3 linked regions of the Neurospora crassa OR74A genome follow. The protein of the gene in region 2 interacts with the protein of the main gene of each other region in a pairwise test. Links are inferred from orthologs where the notes say so. Each region holds a gene or a part of one and is shown on either strand. Other genes may lie near its edges.

Region 1 (5,039 bases), about 680 kb from region 2:
TAACTTGCTTGCCAAACGTGAAACTCAGGATATACGGCTTGCCGGAGCTGCACTGCATAGCTACCTACCAACCCAAAGGCCATGCACAAGTCACAATGGGCACGACAGGACGGATGGACGGACGAACGACACGCGCGAGACACACACACACACACACACGGGAAACAAACCCTGGACTGGACTGACGTCGAGTTTATCCATTGCATCCATCTATCCATCCATGCCATGTGAGTCGAGTCCAGTGCAGTGCAGTTCTCCTCCGAGTTCGTTGAAAGTAACTGACAAGCCACAACCGACGCAGGCAAACTCCAGGCAGTTCCCCCAAAATGATAAGTAGTACGTCAGCCCCCTATTTCTCTGGCAAGCCTTTATGGGTGAGCGTTGGAGTCTGAAACAGACTAAATCATTCTTTATTATATTCCCTTTCCATCTTCCATGCTTTCATGCACTTCGATTGGTGTTGTCTATGACCTATATCACCTATCAGCGAGGCAGTCGCATTAAACATATCTGTTGCACTGGAGAGAATTAGACGCTGGCTTTGTCTCAGCCAACTGTGCTTTCGAGTGTTAGTTGTACCAAGGACGGGTTTCGGACCGGATTATGTGTGTAGGTGGGTTCGAAAAAAAGAACGAGAATCATTCCACTTGGGCTTCCAAGCTGGACTCACTACTTACAAGCTTGTTAACAATCTCAACGTGAGTACCGGCTCTTCCCCAGTCATACCTATCTCCCATCATCCATCTCACCGTTGATTAGCATTCGCAATCTCACACATCTTCTCGACCATCATCATCTTGGTTGACTTGACCGGGCACACACTACGGCACCCAAGACCAGAGACGAAGCAAATGTGCACCTACAAGACCCACATCCGCGTGTGCCGCCGGTGCAGCAGCGAGGACACAGTCCTCATTTCAGAACAACTCTGTTCCGTAGCCAGGAACAGCGGCAGCGGCATCTTTGGCTCCTGCCTATCCGGGGTTTCCGGCCAACGAGATCAGACGGGGTACAAGTGCTGGCAATGCCAGGACGAAGCAACCCTCCCGGCATCCCGGTCTCGAAGCAGTAGTGGCAGTGGGAGTAGCACCTCGAGTGGCAGCACAGGCGGAGGACCAAGGAGGAGGGGGAGCAGTGTTAGTGTTAGTGTACCCATTGGAGCGCAAGGTGTGAACTCCATGTATGGATACAACAACAATAACAACTATCACCATGGAGTTGGAGGGGGTGGTGGCAGTGGTGGTGTTTATGACAGGGGGCAGCAGCAGAGACGGATCTCGGTATCAGGACAGACGACGACGACGACGACGACATTGATGATGTTGCAAGGACAAGGGAGGGAGTACGTGCCTGGACCGGCAGCATTACCGGTATCAGAGCAACAGCAACAGGGACAACAACAGGATCTCGAAAGGAGGTTGAGGAGGATGGGGAAGATGAGGGCAGACTTGGGGAGATATGATGGGCGGTTCATATAGATCAGATTGTTCGCGTGGGTATTGCTGGCATTGGTCATGTCATTTGTCGTATCGATCCGAGGCATCCAAGGCACTCGGTTCCTGGCAGCCATGTTTGTTAAGTGTGGATCCAGTCGAGCCGATCTGGACCCTGGAACAGAAGAATGCTGGACCCTTTACTTGTTGGTAGAATAGCTAGAACTTATAAAGGTGTTAAGTGGTATGGCGTTGAGGAAACAAATCGTAAAAGCAGACCATCAGTTCCGTATATAGTCGACTAAAATAAGCTATTGATGAACAATTATCCTCTGGGCGCGATGTGAGTAGTCGAAGATGGAGCTGGAGGTAGGCCGCCCGTTGTTACGCGCACCTGAACCTCAACTGAAGACTGACAAAATTTTAGTGGGTCCAAAGCGTCATTGTGGGGGAACTTCCGCTAGGTGGGAGCTTATCGGCTGGCGCTACGCTTTATCGATGGGGTTCTTGCCTCTTGTCCCCGCAGCCGGGGCCTCATTGGATGGTCTGTGCTCGGCATTTTTTTGCGCTAGCTACTGCAGAGCTTTTGAAGATTTCTGGAGACGGGACCACTCAGCTGCTCTCGGCACAGGTTCGTGGAGCTTTCAGCGAGCGGATCCAATGATCAAAACCATCCATCGTGGATTGTCATCGAATTTCTCCATCACTCACGTTACCCATCTTTTCGTCTCGCTCCAGTCTTCGTCCACTCACTTACCCCAGCTTCCGTCCTCGACAACACTCCTCTGTCCCAACGCGCAACAACACGATCGGACCCGAATTTCCAATCTACAGTCAACAAACTACCCCCCACCAAATCCGTCAAGATGATGTCTCTTCGTGCTGTCGCGCGCACCACTGCGCCCCGTGCTCTCCGTGCCGTCTCTGCTTCTCCCATCACCCTCGGCCGCGCCACCGTCCGCGCTACCAGCAACGTTCTCAGGACCCAGCTCCCCCAGAAGGCTTTCTCGACCACCGTCTTCCGCGCTGCCGCCACCGAGATCGACTCTGAGCTCTCCGAGAAGCTCTCCACCGAGATTGGCTATGAGCAGGACATTGCCTCCAACGAGCCCGTTCCCGCCACCGTCAAGGATTTCCTTGAGAACGGCCCCTTTGAGCTTGTCGATACCCCCGGCAAGGAGGACGTTGTCCTGAAGCGCACCTTTGGCAACGAGCAGTAAGTTGAACCCCCAACATGACTTCGATCAAGAACCATGCGCTGACCAAGGTACGCCAGGATCACCATCTCCTTTTCCATCGCCGACCTCCAGAACTACGAGCCTGGCATGTTCGACGAGGACACGGCTCTCGGTGACGAGGAGGGTGCCCAGAACGAGGAGGACATGGGTGAGGACGGCGGCGCTCCCGTCCGTCTCAACATCGTCATTGAGAAGCCCAGCAAGGGTGCCCTCAACATCGACGCCGTTGCCCAGGACGGCTCCATTGTTGTCGACAACATGTTCTACTACCACGACGCCAAGCTCGCTCACGGTGAGAGCGCCGAGACCCAGCACGCTGCCCAGGCTGTCTACCCTGGCCCTCCCTTCGGTACCCTCGACGAGGATCTCCAGGTCCTCATGGAGCGCTACCTCGAGGACCGTGGCATCAACCAGGCCCTTGCCCTCTTCGTTCCCGACTACCTTGACATGAAGGAGCAGAAGGAGTACCTCAGGTGGCTCAACAACCTCAAGGGCTTCGTCGATGCCCAATAAATGGGGAGAGATGAGATACTGTCACGAGGAATGGAAAATCCAACAAGGAAAAGGCGAGAGGATTCGAGGCTGCGGGACGGCTTTTTGATTCCGCAGCTGATGTATGACATGTACCTGTAATTATATCCCACGTTTGATATCACGACTCCATACCAAAATTTGTATAATGCAACAGAAGCCGATGGGAACGGGTTGTGTAAGGATGAAGATGCTGTAATAGGACCAACGTCCAAGTGGACAAGACAGTTTTTAAGTTGATACAGCACCAGAGATATGACCGCAAAGGGTCCAAGTCATGAGGTGGTATGGCAAATCTTGCCCATTCTCGTTCTATGCCATGCTACCCTTGCTCGCCTTGGAAGCCAGCGGTCATGCCATTGGTTGAACTGGGGTCACTGATCTTTTAGCCCAGCTGAATCGAACTTCAACTTTGTCCATCTCCTTTCTCCGTCTTACCTTTTTTCCGTTGCAGAAACATTATACTTTGTCAGAATGTGCTTGTGATATGACATCTTTCTAATCAATTTTTGCGTTCGTTTCCGAGGATTCCGGTTACATTCATTTCATTCGTACATTTTGTCCTTAATTCACGCAGTCACTGCAACTCAATATTCGCATTGTGGTGAACATCTTGCCTCAGAACACCATCAAACTGCAGACACGCAGTCAGAACCCGCTACTCAATACCTAACCTTTACAAACGCCTCTAAATAGCACCGTTGATATGACTACAACATGGATCTGAAACACGCACACCAGGCCCAGTACAGCGGCGTACACCAAACAGACGACGATGACGACTATCATCCCCCCCTACCTGTCTCGAGTTCCTCCCGGACCCAAGCCAACGACGACCACCAACCATCAGAAGACGAAGAAGCCCAACTGCTATCGACAGAAGACTACATTGAGCAATTCGAATTCGACGACAACACCGACACATCATCGCCACCTTTCTTGACGACCAAACACTCGAGATCTAATGCCAAATCCCGACTTTCCCCAATCTACCGCCTCTTCACCTTCCTCTCTGGCTCCTCCCACCCCCACCGGCAAACCCTCACCCCTTTCCTGCTTCCGTCAATCCAATCGCTTCCCCGCCTTACACTAGAACGCCTCCTTTCCCATCCATGGCAGCGCGCCGCTCTGTTATCTACCGGTCTACTCCTTTGGCTCACCATTCTTTCTGTTTCCCTGGTTCAGTCCAAGGGTACTCTCCTCTACGCGGATGGAGAGGAGGGAGGAGAGGTAGTCAGACACCTAGACTGCGTCTCAACCTTTTGGGGACCAGGCAACGAGTGCGGCGTCGACGGCGAGCGGTGCAAGCCCTTTGGGAACGTCAGCTTTGCATTTCGTTGCCCGGCGGATTGCAGACAGGTTCAGGTGCTGAATCCGAGGTGGGTTGGGGGGCAGGAGGTGGTTTATAAGCCTTGGGTAATCGGTGGCGGGGATTATGGAGATGGTTCTGCTGCTGGTGGTCTAACTGCTGCCAGCACGGAGACGGAGACGGAGACGGGGACGGGGACGGGGATGGGGACGGAGACGAGGGTATACAGAGGTGACTCCTTCATTTGCCAAGCAGCGATGCATGCCGGTGTCATCTCCGATTCGAAAGGCGGGTGCGGTATGGTCAAGCTAGTAGGAGAATACTACTCCTTCTTCGGCGGAGAAGGAGGCGAAGGCATCTCGAGTCTAGGATTCGACTCGTATTTTCCCATGGGCTTCACCATCCATCCGGCCTTAACTGGCCCGGGAAAATGTCCCCAAATGGAAATGAAAACAGCCCGCTCCCTAGCCCCAACCATCCTCCTCACCTCCCTGGTATCCGTCCTAACCACGTCCGCCACAACCCTCT
Region 2 (6,346 bases):
AAACAGAACGAAAGTAAAGGAAAAGCGAAGATGAAGCCACTGACGACTACCAACCACAATTGCTTTATGTCAACGTTGAATATAATGTGTCCTAGAAGCCGCCCAAGCATGCTTGATAGGTCGATTGATAAACAGCTGGGATCAACGGAAGACGTATAGGCAAGCTGAGACTACGAAGAGCTCTTCGGATATTCACCAGGAATATGAAGGTGGGATATGGTTGGAACGCTGTCATTGCGCATTCCTCCGATAGTTGGGCGTGTTCGATCCTGGAAAACGTCACCACCACTGTTACTGTCCATCTGCCCGACCATAACTGTTCTTGGCATTGTATGGCTGGGATGTTGAGCACTCGCAGATGCGATATCGTTGTGCATGCCTCTCTTATCCCCCAATGGGGACACTGCTTGTAGGGCACCCATGGAGGCTGGGATATCTCTGATATCAGAAGCTACCCCTCGCTGGCCGTGACGAACGTTTTGCTCGTCCGCATCGTGGTCCTGTCTAGCAAGTAATGTCATATCGGGACTGATTTGACAACCATCAGTCTGTTCGCCATATTCCCGGAGAATGACACCATCGCCTTGGTTTCCAACAGTATGATGCATCGACAGGGGTTGGCCGTCAATTTCGTTGTGCACGCCATGAACTTGATTCCGGTTTGGGTTGGCATAAGTGTAATCGCCCTGATGTACTGTAAGAGTGGGCCCCTCGCAATCCGGTGGAGTTGGTTTCCGTGTTCTATCGTGTTTCTCTGTGGCGCTGTCTGGCAATGTGGTGGTAGCCGCGGTGGCATCGACAATGCCGTTCTCGTCGTTTCCGGAACTCACACTAAGCGGGGAAACGGGAACCTGTAAGCGTTTTTGTGCATTTACCTGGAGATCAGATGGGAATCGCCCACCTGAAGGACGTCGCGGCAGAGCGTCTTGCCTCAGCGGCTGGTTGACATATGCCACGTTTGCAGAAAAGGGAGGCTCCTCGTCGTCATTGACTCCATCGCTACTAATGGAAGACCGCTGAGAGGACCTGCTGTAGCTTCTTCCATGGCCGCGAAGGAAATTGGTGCGTTCTTCCGGGGTCCGCTCAGTGAGCATTTTGATGTCCTCATACCATGCCATCATCGTATCATGGCTTTCGGCGCGGAATACCCACGTATGGCCACGGTGCATTGTTCCGGTTTGGCGTCCTTTAAGGATGAACTTGTTGGACGAACTGCCCTCGGTAGAATGAGACCCAAGCTTTTGCTCCGGAAGGTAGAGCGACATGACCGGCCCTTGTCCCTTATCGGCAGACTTGAACTCGTGTAGGTGGGTAGGCGATAGTACGTACCTGCTATTGTTAGTAAGAGAACAGAATTTGCACTGTCGGGAAGAAGCTTCTTTTAGTGGCTCGGATACTTACCATCCTGCCGAATAGCTTTTCAAATATTTGCTTTTGCGCTCCAAAAGACCCGCTCGGATTTCCTGACAAGCGTGATGGTCACGGCCCGGATAGTGAATGAACTCAGCCGATCGCATGGGCACGTCCGGATCCACGAACTGATCATCTTTTCGAATGAAGGAGTTCCATTCGGTATCTTTGGGCATGGAAACTGGGCCAATTCGAAGCTCTTCAATAGCACTGTAAGCAACATCCGACTCTCTCTTGAGAATACCAGCATAAGCGTTGTAAGATTTTTGTATCTCGCCAACGACAATGGACTCGAGCTCCCGTCCCGAATTCTCAAGGTTCAGGTAAGCCTTTGGGTACGGCAGTTAGCTGTGAACAGGACTCCCCCAACGAGGCACATGGTGAAAAGTGCGTACCTGATGCAGATAGTTTTCCTCGTCAATTTGCCTTTCCAGCTGGCGATCCACCGCTAGTCGTAACAGATATGGATCTTCTTTGCCTGTTGTCAGAGCTGGGTCGAGTTCGGTCTTGCCAAGAACTTCCTGAAGACTATTCACAGCTCTTCGAGTGGCCTCCATTTCCTTGTCAACGGAGTTCTTGAAATCGCCAGAGAGATTTTTGATTTCCTTGATCTTCTGATGTAGGTCACTCCGTAAACCCGTGAGTGCTAGGATAACATCCTCTTCAATCTCGCGTGCTTTATTGGACTCGGCAATGGCTTGCTTGTTGTAATTTCGCAGAACCTGGAGGGCATCGTCTAGCCCACCATCTGAAAGAAATCCTGGGGGAGTCGACGTATTATTCAGTACATTCCCCAATCTAATGAGCGATTTGGAACGGTGCTCATAGTGTGTCTGGATCTCCTTGAAAAAGACAATAAGGTCTTTGAGAATCTTTCGCCATGCTAAGAAACAAAAACATGAAGGTTAGGCGCGGACTCTGTTAGCAGACAGGTATGAACTCATACCTTGAAAACGGTTGGCAAGGACGTCGGTGGGACTGCCTGCCGTCGGAACCGGGCAGTAAAAGGCACTGTTCATTCCTTCTTGGTCGGAGTTCTGTTGAAGTGCCAAACTCCGAACACTCCCCGCTTTCATGCTGCGACGACTGCCGCTCCGTTTGAGGCTCCCACTACGTCTAAGAGACGCTTTTTTCTTGAGAGTGTTGCTGCGGGACATGGAAGCGGCCCCATCCCCGTTAAGGCCATTCACAGAACCGGCGTACGAGTTCGTTCGGTACATGGTGCTGTGAGGTCGCGTGCCGTCGACGATCGAGCTTCCTCGTCGACCGGCATCCCACTCCTCGTTGAATCTGGCTAAGTGAGGAGCAGTGGCCATGTGTTCATGATGAGATTGCATCAGGTGAGTATTGGCCAGGGTGTTTGACGCGGTCTCGGCATCAGGGCCACCGGAATAGTACTGTGGTTGTTGTGGTGGTGGGTGCTGCTGCTGCTGCTGCTGTTCATGGATAATTTGCTGCTGGTCGGGAAAGTAGCTGTGTCCGCGATCAAAGTTCATGTTGGGGGAGGGGGCCCCGACTGGAGATCTAGCGGTCATCATGGTGAGTGTCGGCGCGCGCCGCAGGACACCTCACCCAGTACTGGGATAAGGACAGAGAGTAGGCTCGGAAGTTGGGGAAGTAGAGCGGCTGGTTGGGTCGTGGTAGCGGCAGCGGGAATGGTCGACTAGGATATCTAGTCGGCAGACCTTGGGCTGTACGAGAGGACGAGAAGACGGATAGGCAATAGGTTTTGGAGAAGGGCAGCGTAAATGAGAGCCTGGATGGACGCGCGCGGGTGTTGAGGATGGCAACCTGGATATGCTTGGATGATGAGGCTGGAACCAGACCAGTAGACAAACCGAGTCGGGCGATCCAGACTGGAAATTGAAAATAAGATATTGCTACCGCTACCTAGGTCTGGGGTTGTGACTGGACGGGAAGACAATGACGGCGCATCCGAGACTAGAGGTAGTAGGAAATGTGGGCGCGTGGAAGGTGCTCGTGGTAAAGGTAGCGAGGCGGTTTAGAACTAGAGGAAGAAGGCGAGCAGGGAAAGTGGTAATGTTGATTTGGTGCCTTGGGCCGTCTGGGAGACAGGTATGATGTCGTCGTCACCGGGGGCAGGGCAGCAACAAAGAACGCTGGGCAGGGTCTGGGCTAATTGTGCTGCTGTAGCGTGCGCTATTCCGGGCATATGATGGAGCTGTTGATCGCCCCCCGCAAATTACGGACCGGGGCCTCGACGGAGGTTCAGTTGCAGCTTCAGATGAAGTGACCCCACCCAATGGCACACCATAGTTCCCAGACAGGTCGCGCTTAAGCTTACCTATTGTTTGACCCTTTTTTTGGTGGATGTGGTTCTCGTTCTTCTCTCCGGAGTCAGTCTGGGATTATTCCTCAAGCAATGAAGGTCAGTCCTAGAAGTACTCTGTGAAACGCAATCTTGGCTTGGCACTCAGATAAGCCTAGTGCCCCTGTAATGTACATAGGTGACATTGGTAGCTGAGCAGAAAGAGACGTCCGGCTAAACCGAGCGAGCCCGTTCAGTACGAGACGGGAGCTGGTGGTTCCAAATTACAGGTTTTAGTTGTCATATCACAAGACCTTGCATAGACACGACGGCCAGAGCAGCCCATGGTTGACCCATTACATCATCAAGAGCGAACACCACGTCGAGCTATCTTGTGCCAGGTGAGCCTGGCCACAACAGGCACTGTCCTACTGTACATAGCTCTAACAGGTAGAGGTAACCTGGGTAGGTAATCTGCCGTGAACTACCCGCAACCAGGCGCTTCACATAACCCGTGGTCTTGCTGTTTCGATCGAGGTCCAAGACGATCTCCAGGTTTGCCAAATTGGGCAATCTTACTGCAAATCAAGTGCACGTTGAATCGCAAAGGTGGCCGTTCTTTGTGCCACCAACTAGTATCCGCCCGGCGGGTGACGTATTGCGGCCTTGGTTTTGCATCGTCCGCCCAACGAAGAATATCTCCCATCCCTATTCAAAACCTCAAGGTGCTGGATTTGATCATTGTCTGGGAATGGCAGGTCAAAAGACGACCAATTGCGTCAGTGGGAACAAACTGAGCAGGTGCTGAAATGCCAAGCCACGTAGTTTAATCACCGTACAACTTGAAGGCATCTCACGTGTGAAGGCTAAGCAGGTACTATTCGAACACGATCGATGCAAGGTTGTTTTTCTTATTCGCATATTAGTACAAACCGTTCCCTAACATTAGTCCTTGAGAGGTTCATTATGAGGTAGTCTTCTACGCATCCCACAACTTCTCATAAAGGGACAATATAGTAACGTTTCCTATTATTACAATATAATTCATTGCAATTAGTAGAGTATTTGCAAAATAGGAGGCTAGTGTATAGACTAGTAGTAGGTATTCAAGATACTAGAAGATACTAAGGGGCTAAAAAAGTAGGTTGCTGAGCTCCAATATGAAGGTATAAGTGTTCATTCTTCTAAAATTTGACCCTTGTTAATGCAAAAGTTTGACCTTTATTATTCTAACTAGCAGTTAGCAGTTCTAGTATGAATTGGTAACTCTTACACTTAACTGACTATATAATAAGTAGGGTGCTAGTATTTATAAAAAAAAAAAAAAAAAAAAAAAAAAAAAAAAAAAAAAAAAGGGGGGAGAGGTTGCAAAGGGAGGGAACATTACTTAAGGATGGCTGCAAGGCAGAACATTACAATTCACACAATCTAATAGGCTAAAACTACCTACTTTCAAGGAGAGAAAGAGCTAGCAGAAGAGATCTAAACATCTGCTAGTCTCAGTCAGACCCACTAACCTCCAAAACTACCCCACCCCACCCGTTTCACAAAGTTCGAGGAGACCCACATTTTATGTGGGGCGGGGGAACGGAGGCAGATGGGGTCTGTTCAGAGACTAACATCTGCACACAACAAAAACCTCTTTTACAAGCTCAAAACTACTAGAATCACTCAAAGCCTCCTCTACCTTCCCCACTATCTAATGCCCTCGTTTGAGTACCACGCTACTAACGAACTTACCAGGACTAATATGTACGGTAGGTAGATGCAAGAGTCGTCCTTGTGCGTGATCTGTGTAGACACCAAGTCCAATGCAGGGACGCCGTTGAAAGCTCCGGATGCCGACTGGCGTTCACACTCGCATTAAATAAGCTTTTGCAGGATGTCCTGATGAGGTGAAACTGGGCGTATCTATGTAGCTCGTCTAGGACAAATAAACGTGGACTCCAGAACATAATGTCATCGGCAACTTGACAAGACACTAAGGAAACTGTATGGCTTTAAATGACTATTAGGGACCATAAATAACCCAAGAGGACGAATGAAAGGAATAAGAGTAATTGGAGGAATCATGCAACTCGTCTTAGTGTTCAAGGCAATGACATAGTCTTAGTAGTCTAGCCCGGCTGCAGTCTTTGTTAATTTGTCCTGGACGAATTCAGTCTCACTTGTAACTCCAGTGGCTGCGCAAAATCCCACCGAGCTTATCGTGGTGTTGTCAAGGATCTGCTGTCCTGGACTCCCGGTAGGGCTCTTAATCGCGAGACGGCCCGCAGCCCTACCTACCTAGTGTGCATGTCCACTTCCATGTGTAGCGGCGCTCAGCCGAGCTTCTAAGATCGGGGTTGAGAGAGCAGAATGATACGTAGATCTTCAGGTTCGCATAGCTTGCATGTAAAAGTGCAGTACGCCGCCCATGTAAGCTGCCCTTCCCTTCTGTTCTGTGGTCGGTCCCGGGTCCCACGAAGCCGAAGTTTGACACTTTGCAGCCGTCTCAGCGGTGCTTGTTACGGGCCGTGGTTCTTGGAAGGCCGTACGCAGTAGTAGCGTACAAATAGGTAGCGCTCCCTGACCCTCTAATGTTAAATGGTCCCTTGCGATGCCGATTGATGGCAGCTGGACCAGGGTGCCTCTCCAGAAACAACCCCGACGTCGGCCGAGGAGTAC
Region 3 (5,047 bases), on a different chromosome or scaffold from region 2:
CTCGCTCCGTCGACGATATTCGCCTCCACCACCTGTCCCTTGCCCGTCCTCTCCCTCGCGGCCAGCGCAAGCAGGATGCCCTGGAACAAAACCGCTCCGCCGCCGGCAAAGTCTCCCAGAATGTTGATGGGCGGCGTCGGCTTCTCGCCCTTCCTCCCCAGCAGACTCAACACCCCGCTCACAGCCAGGTAGTTGATATCGTGCCCGGCCATGGTGGCGAACCGGCCGTCTCGCCGGAAGCCCGTCAGGCGGGCGTAGATGAGGCGGGGGTTGCATTCGTCGCTGCACAGGACAGAGGGGCCCAGCCCGAGCTTCTCCAGGACGCCGGGGCGGTAAGGGTCGATGAGAACGTCCGATACGGCGGCGAGGGATTTGATGAGGGCGATTCCGGAGGGGGACTTGAGGTCGACCACCAAGGAGGATTTGTGGCGGGTTAGTTGGTCGGGAACTTGGCGGGCGACGGGGCCGGAGACGGCGCGGTCGATGCGCAGGACGGAGGCGCCAGCGTCGGCGAGGAGGAGCCCGGCGAAGGGACCTGTTCCCAAGCGGGGAATTAGTTTTGTGACATTTTGTTTTTTTCCAAGTGAGAGTGAAGTGTAAGTGAAGTGTATAAGTGAGACCTCAAGATCGGCCGGGTTTCGGCCGAAAGCCTCTGTGTGTGTAAGTCGGAGGAAAAGTGAGAGATGGAGGGCTGACCTGGAGCTAGACCGGCAAACTCCAGGACCTTGAGGCCGGTAAGAGGCGGTTGGCCAACCATACTGATTCCTTCCTTAAACCTTCCAATCTTTCGATGTTCTGGAAGGTACCTCTCGAATAACTTCGGCCAGTAATCGTGCCTTTGGGAATATGAAACGGTTACACGGCAACGGACCGATCCACGCACAAACACTATTCACCCAGCCGGTTCAAGTTTCCGATTCCCCGATTATTGTTCTGTTTGCGAATGGCGCAGGTTGGTTGGAAAAAGAGACACCCAGTAAATGGCGAATGAGCTCAGGGGTCAATGTGACTGGTGGTGGTGGTGGTTAGCCTTGGTAGTATTTGTAGCAACAGCAGCAACAGCAAGGTCGACTAGAAAGGATGAAACGAAAAGGAGACATAAGAGGTATCCGACCACTTATGAGGCCGGTATTCGGGACTTTAGGGTATGGGGAACTCGGATCATGCTACGTTGGATGTGTGGGGTCATAGGATGAACGGGAACGGAGATGGTGCAGTATTGTTTTGACTCTTTCTGGTTTGTTTATGACTGTTTGCAAGACCATGCAATTGGGATATCCGACCAAGACACTGCACTAAGTGTGATTTTTTCAGTTCCCGCTGAGATTCCTCATAAGGTTACGGCTCTCCAGGACTTTTCAAAAGCTGAAGCTATCGTGATGTGCAGTAAACATCATCAGACATCCTTTTCCGCTTCTTCATCCAGAACATCTCAGTTTATTTTGGGGACATTGATCAAAAGAGCTGAACAGCAATCGAAACTCGAAAACGGCCATATGACAAAGTGGATTTGGGAGCAACATTATCGCAGTGACACGAATGCGGTGAGGTGACTACTGAAGCTCCGTCCCTTCTCCTGCTCACGTTGCCCCAGGCCTGTGAGGCGGGGTGTCTGGTGTGAGGGTGTGCTGTCACCAATTTGCACCGTGAACGCATTCCCGTTTAGCGGCTGATCGCGGCCCGCCCTGTGGGGAAGTTGGGGAGCTGGGCAGGTGGAGAGAGAGGGCTTGGTATGCGGGGTAAGGACAAGAGGAGGAGGTATGTAGACTCTCAACGTTTGTAGCTGATGCGCCAAAGTGACAAATCCCGAGGATTTGGATGACAGGAGCAGATCTGAGAAAGCTATGTTGCGGCAGTCCAAGATGCGATTGGTACCAAGCAAGCAACACATGATGCAAGTGCTTCAGTACATGGCAGTACCGAACCCACGATGTCAATACAACATACGCAAGACAGCTTCGACGACCGAAAATACATGATGTGTTGATCAATAACTCTTGACACCATAAGATCTAACGAACAACCAGCATGAAATATCATGTGCCGGGAAGGTGATGGGAAGTGTATCAGACAGTATGAGTCTGGATGGTTCAACTCCGATGGATGCGTGGATGTGCCAGACTCCGTGAGTATTACTAATTCTGACTTTCAATCGTCAAAGTCTCGAGAGCGTATTGGAAACAACAATGCCGTTATAATGAGCTGTGGGCATATGGATGATGGATGATGAGAGGAAAATGTAGATGCTTCCTCTACCTCGAAGCTGACAAATGATCCAAAGACTAAAGGTGCAAAACGGATCGCAGAGCACAACCCTAACCCTCTTTCAGGAGCTAGCGGAAAGCGCTTTACATCATCAAGGTCGGGTACATTGGAAAGCTCCAGTTAGTGGCCGCTAAAAAGTCGTGATAACGCTTCTTCCACTGCCGCTGCCGCCGACAATCGCCATCCGTCCGCATCGCTGTGAATTTTTGTCTGTCTTTGCGCCAAACATCTTGTCACTCTCTAGTAGCCAGCACCGCGCCTTACCTTTCAAAATGCTCACCCGGTCGCTTTTCTCGAGGGTAAGCGCTCCAGGTCCCGTCACCCCGCAAAGTTGTAACCGGCACTAACATCCTCCTCCTCCTGACAACAGCAACTCTTCGCCGCCGCCTCCCGGCCGGCCATTGCACCCAAGGCCGTCTCCTCCGCCTTCCGCCCCGTCCTCTTCTACCAGAACCGCTTCCTGTCCGATGCGACCCGCCAGGCCATCGACAAGGCCGTCGCCTCCGCGCCCGTCGTCCTCTTCATGAAGGGCACCCCCGAAACCCCCCAGTGCGGCTTCTCGCGCGCCAGCATCCAGGTTCTGGGTCTGCAGGGCGTTGATCCCAACAAGTTTGCTGCTTTTAACGTTTTGGAGGATGCCGAGTTGAGGCAGGGTATGTTACACAACCAGTTGGGACAAGAAAAATGGGAAAAGTAGACAAGGACAGAAATGCTGACACAAGTGGGCGTGCACCGCGCATCATCATGCATATATAGGCATCAAGGAGTACAGCGACTGGCCCACCATTCCTCAGCTTTACATCGACAAGGAGTTCGTCGGCGGTTGCGATATCATTGTCTCGATGCACCAGAACGGCGAGCTTGCCAAGCTTCTCGAAGAGAAGGATGTTTTGGTCAAGGGCGAGGAGGGTGCTGCTGAGGAGCAGACCGAGAAGAAGGAGTAAAAGAAATGAAGCGGCGGATGCGGATGCAGCTTTTGGCTATGCGTGGAGGAAATGAGTGATTCATGAAGCCATTGTACTTGTACTGATACCATTTGATAGACGATTGGGATCGCATGCCTAGACTGTACGATATGTGTTTACTCTTTGCAATACTGAAAAGCGACGTGGAAGTGCTTCTCTGGAAATTCATCAGGACATTGGGAAACCAGATAACAGCAGATGATGACATGTAAAGTACATGTGAGACAGATTCCCTCAAAAGTATCTCGACCTATACCCGTCTATGATGTGTTGAAAACGCCATGTTAAATGCCGCCTGGGTATCATGTTAAAGCTCCCTTTTCCTCATGCACACAAAGAAAACAGAAAAACACAAAACAAAACAAACCCCTCAGCCATGTTGAACTCTCTCTTCTCCTCCCCCCTCCTTTCAGTTACTGTCCCCATCTCAGTTGCAGCTAGGCCCATCCGTAGCCTGTTGATTCGTCTTCGCCTCCAACCCATAACCGCCCAAGCCCGGGCTGTTATAACTCAACCCCTCCGGTCCCCTCCTGTGCTGGCTTCTCGGCCCTCTCTCCTTCAAATCATCCCTCAACCACCTCAACACCAGCTCTCCCAGCCTACTATTTCCCGTCACGCCTTCAATCACATTCTTCCCATCCTCGACCTCCTTCAACATCTCCTCCGCCTTCCCCCACCCCTTCACAGTGCCCAAGTGCATGTGCACCAGGTGCGTCGGCCAACTGGCCAAGTTGTCCAGGATGTGCGTCGCGTACACAACCGTGCACTCTCTCGTCTCCGTCTCCCGTCTCAGCCACCCTAGAAACTGCGCCCGGGACCAGACATCCAAGTCGACGGTGATTTCGTCCAGCAACAGCACCGTCCAGGGCCGGATCAAGCCCATTGCCAGCTGCACCCTGCGGCGTTCTCCGTCCGACACGGCGTGCATTCGCCAGTTGGTGTCGATATCCAGCACCGACACCAATTCATCCCTTCTCTCGGGATAAGCATCGCCGCCCACTGACCGCAGCAGCTCAACGACACCAATGTCCGTGCGCACAATCGCGTTGAGGACCCATTCCAACCCCAAGTAGGTGACGCCCTCCAGACCTTCCTTGAACGGGTCAACGCCCGACACTTTGATGGTGTTGGCGGGCGCGAGACGCTTGCCGGCCAACAGGCGAAGCAAGGTGGTTTTGCCGGCACCGTTGGCGCCAATCAGGAGCGTGCGTGAGCGAGGCGGGAGGGAGAGGGTAATGTCCGAGACGCCGTTGGAGCGGTCGGGAAAGCTGTAGGTGAGGTTGAAGGTTTCCACTGTTGGGGGGGCTGGTTGGGAGGCCATTGTTTTTTTTTTTTTTTTTCTTGTGTGCGTGTGGCTGATGGTTCGATGAACGGGTTGGGTTGTTGGTGGAAGGTTTGTTATGTTGGCTCTCTCGAGTGAGAGATATGGTTTCTGGTTGGCTCTTTCCACTGTGTTTACCCTTAAGTTCGTGTTGTTGACAATGTGAAGGGATGTACTATGGTGTTGGTGGGAAGGGAAAAAAAAAAAATCGAACTTGATTTGGGGAGTGAGGGGGAAAATGGATGGAATGAGGGGGTGATAGCGGCAAGCGGCAAGCGGCAAATGTTGGGTGATGCGAAAAACGGAACAGTTCCCACTTGCACCTGACAGTTTAGAGAGCTCGGCGATGTTGGGCCAGAAGGTCTGTCGTTTCAATCCGCCCTCCCCCCTGGAAAGTTTTGCGGGGCGGTACCTGATGACGCAAGTACGCAACAAGGGCCGTTTTGAGTCCACATGGCGATTCAATTCTTCAACTCCAATAATGTGCGAAGAGAGA

Evidence for each region.
Region 1: the proteins of NCU02425 (region 2) and NCU06086 interact in a protein complementation assay, tested with the Saccharomyces cerevisiae proteins (2 studies listed by BioGRID). The link is inferred for Neurospora crassa OR74A from reciprocal best matches to the Saccharomyces cerevisiae genes SLM1 and MAM33.
Region 3: the proteins of NCU02425 (region 2) and NCU04098 interact in a two-hybrid assay, tested with the Saccharomyces cerevisiae proteins (2 studies listed by BioGRID). The link is inferred for Neurospora crassa OR74A from reciprocal best matches to the Saccharomyces cerevisiae genes SLM1 and GRX5.

The regions. Positions count from the first base shown.
Region 1 is NC_026507.1:1,858,995-1,864,033, forward strand, and holds NCU06086 (regulatory protein suaprga1), read left to right. Parts: upstream 1-2,096; 5' UTR 2,097-2,299; coding exon 2,300-2,649; intron 2,650-2,709; coding exon 2,710-3,184; 3' UTR 3,185-3,402; downstream 3,403-5,039. Other genes in the region: NCU17215 (hypothetical protein), read left to right, coding at 852-1,478; NCU06085 (LCCL domain-containing protein), read left to right, coding at 3,920-5,039. UniProt on the Saccharomyces cerevisiae protein: Not known. Binds to the sorting sequence of cytochrome b2.
Region 2 is NC_026507.1:2,534,113-2,540,458, reverse strand, and holds the start of NCU02425 (PH domain-containing protein), read right to left. Parts: upstream 3,548-6,346; 5' UTR 2,949-3,547; coding exon 2,357-2,948; intron 2,294-2,356; coding exon 1,806-2,293; intron 1,740-1,805; coding exon 1,402-1,739; intron 1,330-1,401; coding exon 171-1,329; 3' UTR 1-170. UniProt on the Saccharomyces cerevisiae protein: Together with SLM2, acts as an effector of the TORC2- and calcineurin-signaling pathways. Phosphorylated and activated by TORC2 under favorable growth conditions. Mediates actin polarization via inhibition of calcineurin-dependent transcription.
Region 3 is NC_026505.1:4,817,294-4,822,340, reverse strand, and holds NCU04098 (monothiol glutaredoxin-5), read left to right. Parts: upstream 1-2,396; 5' UTR 2,397-2,537; coding exon 2,538-2,564; intron 2,565-2,635; coding exon 2,636-2,918; intron 2,919-3,021; coding exon 3,022-3,209; 3' UTR 3,210-3,410; downstream 3,411-5,047. Other genes in the region: NCU04099 (alpha-methylacyl-CoA racemase), read right to left, coding at 1-535, 697-757; NCU04097 (ABC transporter), read right to left, coding at 3,658-4,551. UniProt on the Saccharomyces cerevisiae protein: Monothiol glutaredoxin involved in mitochondrial iron-sulfur (Fe/S) cluster transfer. Receives 2Fe/2S clusters from scaffold protein ISU1 and mediates their transfer to apoproteins, to the 4Fe/FS cluster biosynthesis machinery, or export from mitochondrion.